Saccharomyces cerevisiae S288C: one gene and its partners. The gene in region 1 interacts genetically with each later gene. Each region holds a gene or a part of one and is shown in the gene's direction. Other genes may lie near its edges. The genes, in order: ECM3, SEG2 and YOR387C.

Region 1 (3,760 bases):
TCCCCAGCGATGAGTTAGTGAAAATCGACAATATATCTTTTTTTAATCAATGTGTTTTACTATTTCTAGAAAGCAAGGGAAGCCACTCTATTAGTAAACCTCTGGGCTTTACACATATAAAATCGCAGGAAAGTTATATTTCGAAGATGCCACCAAAAAAGGGAAAACAGGCCCAAGCGGCTGGTAAGAAGAAGGATAATGTCGACAAGACGTTCGGTATGAAGAACAAGAACCGTTCTACCAAAGTCCAAAAATACATCAAACAAGTGCAATCACAATCCGACCCCAAGAAAGAAGAGATGAGGTTAAAGAAACTCGAAGAAAAAAAGCGCAGAGAAGCCGAAGAAGCTGAACGAAGAGCACTATTCAACCCTGTAGCAGACCAAAGGGTTCGTGCGGGTGTAGATCCCAAGTCCATGGTTTGTGCTCTGTTCAAACTGGGGAATTGTAACAAAGGTGCCAAATGTAAGTTCTCACATGACTTGAACGTCGGTAGAAGAATGGAAAAGAAAGATTTATACCAAGATACAAGAAGTGAAAAGGAAAATGACACAATGGACAACTGGGATGAAGAAAAGCTGAGAAAAGTTATCCTGTCGAAGCACGGTAACCCAAAGACCACCACCGACAAAGTATGCAAATACTTCATCGAGGCCGTGGAAAACGGTAAATACGGTTGGTTTTGGATTTGTCCTAACGGAGGTGACAAATGTATGTACAGACACTCCCTACCAGAGGGCTTTGTGCTGAAAACCAACGAGCAAAAGAGGCTCGAGAGGGAGTCGCTCGAGAAACAGCCAAAAATTACGCTGGAGGAGTTTATCGAAACAGAAAGAGGGAAACTAGACAAATCCAAGCTAACACCAATAACAATTGCCAACTTCGCCCAATGGAAGAAGGACCACGTCATCGCAAAGATTAACGCTGAAAAGAAGTTATCTAGTAAGAGGAAACCTACTGGTAGAGAAATCATTCTTAAGATGAGCGCCGAAAACAAGTCATTTGAGACGGACAACGCCGACATGCCAGACGACGTCACCCAGGGATCCGCATGGGATCTTACTGAATTCACAGATGCCTTGAAGAAGGCTGACCACCAAGACGACGGCGGCATCAAGGACTACGGTGACGGTAGCAACCCCACCTTCGACATCAAAAAAGCCAACTCCGCCACGCTCGCATAGTCTAAAATTCATATAGACTAAACTGTATATATGCCACCGTATATATAATACACGCACACACACCAACACAAAGCATGTCACGTCATGTAGCTGATCACGCAGCACGACCGCGGCCCATGCTTATCTGCCGTCTTTTTGCCCCTTTCGATATCCCACGCCCCACGCCCCCACGTTGTTGAGGTGTTTTTTCACCTCGGATCCGCCCGACAATATCTGGGATTAAAAGTGCTCGAGTTTTGCTCTCTATTTCACAATCGGTGATAGTTGAGCTTCCTTTCACTGCATCTCTTTGCAGCCTCGGGGGATGAGGCTATATACTTAGAGGGCCTGAATATATGTTTGACGCATCCCTCCTTCGTACGCTACCATCTGTTACTCTTGCACCGTTATTATATGCTTGTAATTTTTGTTATATAATAGGCCTTTCATTGTTTTTAATATAGACTTTCATCATAGGGCATCCGGAATTTCTTCTCAGAAGCCTCGCAATTTTTCTTTATATTAGGTTTTTCAGACTTTACATTTGTACAGAAACTGCGTATTGTTGACCATTACCGAGAGGAAGATAAAAAGGCATAGATAGTTAAGTTTAGCATTATAGAACCAACACAAACAAAACAATAGAAGACAAAGAGTAAGTTCAAGACAAGTAGACAATGACACACATCACACTGGGACAAGCCATCTGGGCCTCTGTCAGACCAATCATCAAAATCTATCTGATTATTGGTGTAGGCTTCGGTTTATGCAAGATGAACATCTTAACCGTTCAGGCCACAAGGTCCATCTCTGATATCGTTTTAACAATTCTGCTTCCTTGTTTATCATTCAATAAAATCGTAGCAAATATAGAAGATAACGATATCAAAGATGTCGGCATTATTTGTCTGACGTCTGTTATACTGTTCGCAACTGGCTTGGGGTTTGCCTTTATTGTTCGCAGTGTGCTGCCTGTTCCTAAGAGATGGCGTGGTGGTATACTTGCAGGAGGTATGTTTCCCAATATCAGCGATCTACCCATCGCCTATTTGCAATCCATGGACCAAGGGTTTATATTTACAGAAGCAGAAGGTGAGAAAGGTGTTGCCAACGTTATCATCTTTCTGGCCATGTTTTTGATATGTGTTTTCAATTTAGGTGGTTTCAGACTAATTGAAAACGATTTCCATTACAAAGGTGATGACGATGAAGAAAATACGTTGACCAATGATGATTCTGCCCAACAGCCAACACAACCAATTGAAGGCAATTCTTCTTCTTCATCCAACCAAGATATCCTGAAAGAGCCCAACGAGTCTACCGTTCCTAACAGTTCACAAGCAAGCTACATTTCTGAGAAAAATAAAAAAGAAAAAACTGAACTCTCTGTCCCCAAGCCTACACATACTGCCCCTCCAGCAATAGATGACAGGAGCTCGAACTCATCCGCGGTGGTCTCTATCGATAGCATTACACACTCACTACGCACAAACCATGTGGATGCCCAATCTGTAAGCGAGCTTAACGATCCTACTTACAGAACTAGAAGTCAACCAATAGCATACACTACCGAGTCAAGAACATCACATGTTCATAATAACCGCAGGAATTCCATCACTGGCTCCTTACGTTCCATCGATATGCGTGAACTACCCGCGGAAGGCATGTCGGATTTAATTCGTGAATACTCCAATGTTGATCAATACGGTAGAAGAAGGAAAAGTTCTATCAGCTCCCAAGGAGCACCCTCTGTTTTGCAGGCAGACGGTACTATTTCTCCAAATTTGACTAGAACCTCCACTTTACAAAGAGTCAAAACTTCCAACCTAACAAGAATAATCACCTCAGATGCCACTGTTAGTAAGAAAGATATTGAGACTTCCGGTTCCTCTTTACCAAAATGGCTACAGAAATTTCCCTTAACAAAATTTTTCGTCTTTTTTCTAAAAAATTGTCTAAGGCCTTGTTCCATGGCTGTTATCCTGGCTTTGATTATCGCTTTTATTCCCTGGGTAAAAGCCCTTTTCGTTACGACCAGTAATACACCAAAAATCAAACAAGCCCCAGATAATGCACCTGCTCTAACTTTCATTATGGATTTTACATCTTATGTTGGAGCCGCTTCAGTTCCCTTCGGTTTGATTCTTTTAGGCGCTACTCTTGGTAGATTGAAAATTGGAAAATTATACCCTGGTTTCTGGAAATCCGCAGTGGTATTAGTCTTTCTCAGACAATGTATCATGCCGATCTTTGGTGTCTTGTGGTGTGACCGTCTAGTGAAAGCGGGATGGCTAAATTGGGAAAACGACAAGATGTTATTGTTTGTTACCGCCATTACTTGGAACTTACCAACAATGACCACCTTAATCTACTTCACTGCAAGTTATACCCCTGAGGACGAAACTGAACCCGTTCAAATGGAATGTACCTCTTTCTTTTTGATGCTTCAATATCCTTTGATGGTCGTTAGTTTACCATTTTTGGTGTCTTATTTCATCAAAGTTCAAATGAAATTATAAAGTTCGTTAAGGAAGAAACAAGATCTATTCATGCATTCCCATTCTCATTCTCATAATTTCATTTCATCGTACAACTGA
Region 2 (3,760 bases), on another chromosome or scaffold:
GTGAATTTGAAGCTGGTTCCCAAAATGCCAATTTACTACCAATTGCCGCCAATGAATTTAACTTGAGACATTCTCAATCCAGGGCTTTCCTATCAGAAGATGGATCTCCAACACCGGTGGAATTTTTTGTTTCTTCGGATGCGGCATCTGTTGTTAAACATACCAAGAAGGTGCTATTTTTAGAAGATGACGATTTGGCTCATATTTACGATGGTGAGTTACATATTCATAGATCTAGAAGAGAAGTAGGCGCATCAATGACAAGGTCCATTCAAACTTTAGAGATGGAGTTAGCTCAGATCATGAAGGGCCCTTACGACCATTTTATGCAAAAGGAAATCTATGAGCAACCAGAATCTACTTTCAATACTATGAGAGGTAGAATCGACTATGAAAATAATAAAGTGATATTGGGTGGTTTAAAGGCATGGTTACCAGTTGTCAGAAGAGCACGGAGACTGATCATGATCGCATGCGGTACTTCTTATCATTCATGTTTGGCTACTCGTGCTATCTTCGAAGAATTATCAGATATCCCAGTTAGTGTGGAATTAGCGTCTGACTTTCTGGACAGAAAATGCCCTGTCTTCAGAGACGATGTATGCGTGTTTGTTTCACAAAGTGGTGAAACTGCGGATACCATGCTGGCTCTAAATTATTGTTTAGAAAGAGGAGCCTTAACTGTCGGAATTGTTAACAGTGTTGGTTCTTCTATCTCTCGTGTCACCCACTGTGGTGTTCATATTAACGCTGGTCCTGAAATTGGTGTTGCCTCTACAAAAGCTTATACTTCCCAGTATATTGCCTTAGTGATGTTTGCTCTATCGCTGTCAGATGACCGTGTATCGAAAATAGACAGAAGAATTGAAATCATTCAAGGCTTGAAGTTAATCCCGGGCCAAATTAAGCAGGTATTAAAGCTGGAACCAAGAATAAAAAAGCTCTGTGCGACTGAATTAAAGGATCAAAAATCTCTATTGTTATTGGGTAGAGGTTACCAATTTGCTGCTGCTCTGGAAGGTGCTTTGAAGATCAAAGAAATTTCTTATATGCATTCTGAAGGTGTTTTGGCAGGTGAGTTGAAGCACGGTGTCTTGGCCTTGGTGGACGAAAACTTGCCAATCATTGCTTTTGGTACCAGAGACTCTCTATTCCCTAAAGTAGTTTCCTCTATTGAGCAAGTTACTGCAAGAAAGGGCCATCCAATTATTATTTGTAACGAAAATGATGAAGTGTGGGCGCAAAAATCTAAATCAATCGACCTGCAAACCTTAGAAGTTCCACAAACTGTTGATTGTTTACAAGGTCTAATTAATATTATTCCATTACAACTAATGTCATATTGGTTGGCTGTTAATAAAGGGATTGATGTTGATTTTCCAAGAAACTTGGCTAAATCTGTTACCGTCGAATAAATTAACCCTTTTACTTTCTCTTCGTCCCCCAGCCTCCCATCCGTCTTTCTACTATCACTTCTCCTTCGCTTTTAATTTTTGAACTTCCATTATTCTGCAATGCGCACTACAAGCTGGCGTTAAAGATGATTCCACTTGTATTCTCTATATAAATAAAAAATTATATTTTATATGAATAACCAAAAAGATAGTTGCAGCCCTAAATTAGACCTGCTAAATAAATGTGTTCTAACTTTGTTACAATTTTTAAACCATATAACTTCCTTCTTGTAAGTCCTCTAAAATAATATTAAACCCTATCCTGAGTTGGGCCCTGCGTTTTACCCGCAGGAATAGGCCCGATGATTGATTATCCACATCAACTTTTGGTGAAATTCGAGAGAAAATAAATGGGAAGTGAACGAGCAATAGGCAATCAACAAAAAAAAAAAAGGGTTAGGAAATTCGCTATTGTAAAGAGGCAATTTTTAAAATTTAGAGTGAAAATCGCCATTCCATCTTCTTCATATTCTTCGTTCAAATTACACAATTATTGCGGGAGGAAATAGCATTTATTAACCCTAATAATCAACATAAGGCAGATAGCTCTGAAAGAGGCAAGTATCAACAAATAGTGGGAGCATTGGAAATAGCGGGATGATCCAAGAAAGTAGTCCAGATGCCTTAGCAGCAGCAGCAGCAATTGGAAATGCGCTCAGTTATAATGGGAGGACCGTTGACAAGAGTAAAATACCGCAATACAATCAGAGTTTTACCTCTCGAACTACGTCAATCGCAGGGATTAATAGGTATACAATGCTCTCGAATTCTAGGACTAACTCAAGGATGCTCTTAATGAATGGTAACGTTCGCCAATACTCTAAGCGCACGTCGAGTTTGCCAAACCAAGGACATAAGAATACCTCTAATAATTCGGCGGGGAGAAGGCAACACAGGGCTCACGAGGATGCAGAAACCACGTTTCGAGAATTTGGAGGCAAGCAGTCATCGAAGGTTTTAAACATTTCAAGTTCGACTGGTCAGAATAGTAAATCAAGGACCACATCACTTGGGAACTCAGGCAGCACAATAAGGACGATAAAAAAATACATACCAGGCCCTAGGGGGTTAATGGCTGTGGAAGTACCCGTGGAAGTAGAGCCTCCTAGATACAGTCTGAGCAACCGCTCAAACCAACGAGGTGGTAGAGCATATTCTTTGCCTACTCGAAACAACAAAACTAGTCTAATGCATAGGAATAAAACTACTAAGAAAGCAGGATCACAAGAGAAAAAAAGTGAAAGCGGCGGTAAATCAAAAAACGATTATCATGGCAAAGTATTATCTAAAATGCATACTACATCATTAAAGCAACGGCATAACAATGTTCCATTAATACCAACAACTATGAACGAGGAAACGGAACAAGAACTGCAAGAGGATCTTCATGATCCTTTAGAATTTAAACCCATGATTATATCCGATGACGAAAACTCTTTTATTGAACCCAGCGTTCTCGATCGTAGCATACCCAAAAAAGATAAAAGTGGTCTCAGTGGACGTGAGAAAAAGGAAGAAATTGAAACATTGCTTAAAGAGGTTCATAGCTTGGAGGAAAAAATATCAAATATCGAAATAGCAAAATTGAACGAAGAAGAAAGGGAACAAAGCTTAATTTTGGAATTGCGAAAAGTTAAGCTAGATGAAGAACGGAGAATGGAGTTATTGAAAAGAGAGCTAAATATAGTTAAGGAGAATGCCGACCTTGAAGCCCAAGAATTAAAACTAATTGAAAGCAAAAGAAAACAACACTTTCACAAAGGACAGGAAGTAGCATCCGAGGTCAAATCGATCACGATTCGTCAACCTACTTTATCAGAACCTAAGCCTGCCTATGTACCTCCGGAAGACGTGGAGAAAGAGCCATCAACTCTCTCCAATCAAACTCAGAATATTGAAAATGCAGAGAATATCGATTCTGTTGATGCCGAAGGAAATTTAGTAGATCCTATTCTTCTCGGCTCTTTAAACAATTCTAACTTCCACATGAATTCAGATAACGAAGTGAGGTGCATTGCAGATTCAAACAGTCTCACTGGCAGCGAATTATCCGATTATAATTATATAGAAGGCTCGGCAACTGATCTTCGCGCTACTGCAAAGACAAGTGTGGAGTCTGAAATAGGCGGAAATCAGGTTGGACTAAAAATTCCGCAAGATGATGATAGTGAAAAACAGGAAGAACGTACAAAGGGAAAAAAGTCAGGCCTCGTCGATACAAATTGCTTTTTAGTCCAAAAAGAAGATCAAGAAGAGGCGCTTTCCGATAATGAACCGGAAAGTTCTGAAAAATTCCCTAGCACTTC
Region 3 (3,188 bases), 580 kb from region 1:
TTATTCAATAAAAAGCTTATTTCCCACATGAAAGATGGTGCATACTTGGTGAATACCGCTAGAGGTGCTATTTGTGTCGCAGAAGATGTTGCCGAGGCAGTCAAGTCTGGTAAATTGGCTGGCTATGGTGGTGATGTCTGGGATAAGCAACCAGCACCAAAAGACCATCCCTGGAGGACTATGGACAATAAGGACCACGTGGGAAACGCAATGACTGTTCATATCAGTGGCACATCTCTGGATGCTCAAAAGAGGTACGCTCAGGGAGTAAAGAACATCCTAAATAGTTACTTTTCCAAAAAGTTTGATTACCGTCCACAGGATATTATTGTGCAGAATGGTTCTTATGCCACCAGAGCTTATGGACAGAAGAAATAAGAGTGATTATGAGTATTTGTGAGCAGAAGTTTTCCGGTCTCCTTTTGTTCTTGTTTTGGCGTATTCTCCACTATTCGTCCATAGCACATTTATACCTTAGCTAAATATTTTGTAAAGCAAAATTTTCGTTATCTCTTAAAAAATAGAAGAGCGGTTTATTAATATCAAATAATTGAAACTGCTGATATGGTAGCTATATACAAAATCTGCTGTCAAAATTTGGCAGTAAACGATCTTCACGGTAGCGGTTCAAATAAAGAGGAAAAGTCTTTCTCCCTTACTGTTTTTCTGGAATTTGGCTCGTCGTTAATAACAGAACTAAAGATACAGTAAAAGGAGAGATCGCAATCAACTTCATTAATTGTAACAGTAGCATAATCACAACTGATCATCTACACTATAAACAGTTTTTATTTCTAATTATGGGCGCCTGGCCGGCTCAAACATTGTGCTTTTAAGACTCCAAAAGTATCTGCTGCAGAAAAGAGCCATATAATGTTAAGTGTTCAGGGATAGGTTATCGCTTACTACTTCAAACGTTTCGAAGGAAAGCCAGGGAAGCCTATATCTGATTCCCTGTTTCATAATCCAATGCAGCCACTAGCTTATAATTATTTGAACTATTTGTCGAACATCACAGTAATAAAATCCCCAGAAAGTTCCACTTGCTGCATATTGGCACCTGTTGATTCACTCTCCATCACTTTTTTGTTAGCCGCCCAGCCTAGAAAGTCTTTAAATACATCTGAAATTTTTTTTTTTTTAACAGTGCACCCGTGCATCATACCTCATGCAAGGTACCTTTTTTTCTCAAAGGTATTGTCTTCCATTGAAGTGGCACTATGGCATGATGAACCCTGAGCATTTCTGAATTCAACAGAACCAAATTGTCCAGAAATAAATCTGTCCGACATGAATTATGAAACTTTTTTTCAATTAAGTGAAGAGAATTTTGCAGCGTCTTACCATTATTTTGACCCATTGGTCGCATGTTTGCGCTTTGACTTCGAGAACCATGTTAAAGCTTACTTGTACGACAACCAATGAAGTATATTACGGCAGTTTTTTTGGACTGGGTCAAAAAAAGTGTTGCATAATCAAATCAGGAACACATTAAAATGTTGTAAAATTTGTCTTAGTATCACCTGAGTGGTTATTCATTACGTACTACTGTCAAAATATTCGGATCTTTCCTAAACGGGCTTTTGAATTAGTGTTGCTTCTATTCCTGGAATGGAAGGTAATACTTTCATGCATTCTCGCTTTTCGGACTTTTAACAATAAATTAAAAACAATGATACTTTCATCAACTACCTATACACCCTGCGGGTCAATTATTTTTTTTTCGAATAACCGCTGAGGTTGGAAATATAGAAACATATTCCAGATCTGTATTTTCAGTTGCTAGAAAAAGGTTAATATAATCATTAAGGTTTTCAGCATATAACAGGTATAATTGATATATAAGCATCGTAATTTTCATTCAAAATGGAGAGCTACTGCTTCTGATAGATTGTACAATCTCAAGAAATCAAGAACAACAACCATACCATGAGTTTCCTAAACATTTTTACTTTTTTCAGCGTCCTTGTGTCTGTTGCAACAGCCGTCAGATTTGATTTGACTAACGTCACTTGTAATAACCTACATGGACCTCACTGTGGTACCTACGTTATGGAAGTCGTTGGCCAAAATGGTACATTTTTGGGTCAATCTACGTTTGCTGGTGCCGACGTTTTAACTGAAAGCGCTGGTGACGCTTGGGCAAGATATTTGGGCCAGGAAACAAGATTCCTCCCAAAGTTGACTACTATTGCTAGCAATGATACGAAGAACTTTTCTCCACTAATCTTCACCACCAATATCTACACTTGTAACCCTCAATCCATTGGTGATGCTATGGTTCCTTTTGCTAACACTGTTACTGGTGAAATTGAATACAACTCTTGGGCAGACACCGCTGATAATGCTTCCTTCATAACCGGTTTAGCTAACCAATTGTTTAACTCTACTCAGTATGGCGTTCAAGTTGCTTCCTGTTACCCAAACTTTGCTTCTGTTATTTTGAGCACCCCAACTGTGAACATTTTCGCTGCGAATGAGACATTACCAGATTATTGTACCGCCATCCAGTTGAAGGCCGTTTGTCCACCAGACGCTGGTTTTGCTTGATTTTTTCCAGCTGCATAATCTGTAGACATATTTTAAGTATATTTTTTAGGCAGTTTTATAAATTAACAGACTATAATTATTTTAGAGAAAAAGACCCAGATTTATACTTCTGACTTTTCTTTTTTATGTTGATCTTATTGTCACTGTCATTGGATCATAATAATGATTCTTTTTTGAACTTCTCTTGAAAGTATCCTCTTATTCTCTTTTGATGATAGGTCCAAATGCACGTGTACTTAGAGATTAGAGCGCAGATGGTTTTCTTGTCAACATCATATCAATTGTTTGCCGAACCAAAATACAACGTTGACTTGATCGTTCCTAGGTCCATCAGCTACTGCACATTCTTACGAGTTATTCATCCGTGAAATATAGCTACATTTTCGAGCATATCTTGAAGTGGTCCATTCTCAACATCACCCTTTCAATTACGCGTGTTTTAAAATACCCAACGTCGTCAGAATCCGACTGATCATCATGGTAAGACTATTGCTCCAAGCAATCTAACCAAGGCATTCTCTTTTCCCTTTTAATTAGTTCACAGTCACTGGCAAACAATCTTCTCTAATCAAAAAAAGAAATTTATTCTATATTGTCTTCTCCGTATTTTGCCCTCTTCACTCCTTTTGCCGTGCCTC

Evidence for each region.
Region 2: mutations in ECM3 (region 1) and SEG2 together harm fitness more than expected from each alone (negative genetic interaction), as found in Saccharomyces cerevisiae (one large-scale study listed by BioGRID).
Region 3: mutations in ECM3 (region 1) and YOR387C together harm fitness more than expected from each alone (negative genetic interaction), as found in Saccharomyces cerevisiae (one large-scale study listed by BioGRID).

What each region holds. Positions count from the first base shown.
Region 1 is NC_001147.6:493,287-497,046, forward strand, and holds ECM3 (putative ATPase ECM3), read left to right. Parts: upstream 1-1,840; coding exon 1,841-3,682; downstream 3,683-3,760. Other genes in the region: translation machinery-associated protein TMA46, read left to right, coding at 147-1,184. UniProt on the Saccharomyces cerevisiae protein: May be involved in cell wall organization and biogenesis.
Region 2 is NC_001143.9:240,875-244,634, reverse strand, and holds the start of SEG2 (Seg2p), read left to right. Parts: upstream 1-2,051; coding exon 2,052-3,760. Other genes in the region: glutamine--fructose-6-phosphate transaminase (isomerizing) GFA1, read left to right, coding at 1-1,415. UniProt on the Saccharomyces cerevisiae protein: Likely plays only a minor role in eisosome assembly.
Region 3 is NC_001147.6:1,068,983-1,072,170, reverse strand, and holds YOR387C (uncharacterized protein), read left to right. Parts: upstream 1-1,929; coding exon 1,930-2,550; downstream 2,551-3,188. Other genes in the region: FDH1 (formate dehydrogenase (NAD+)), read left to right, coding at 1-378.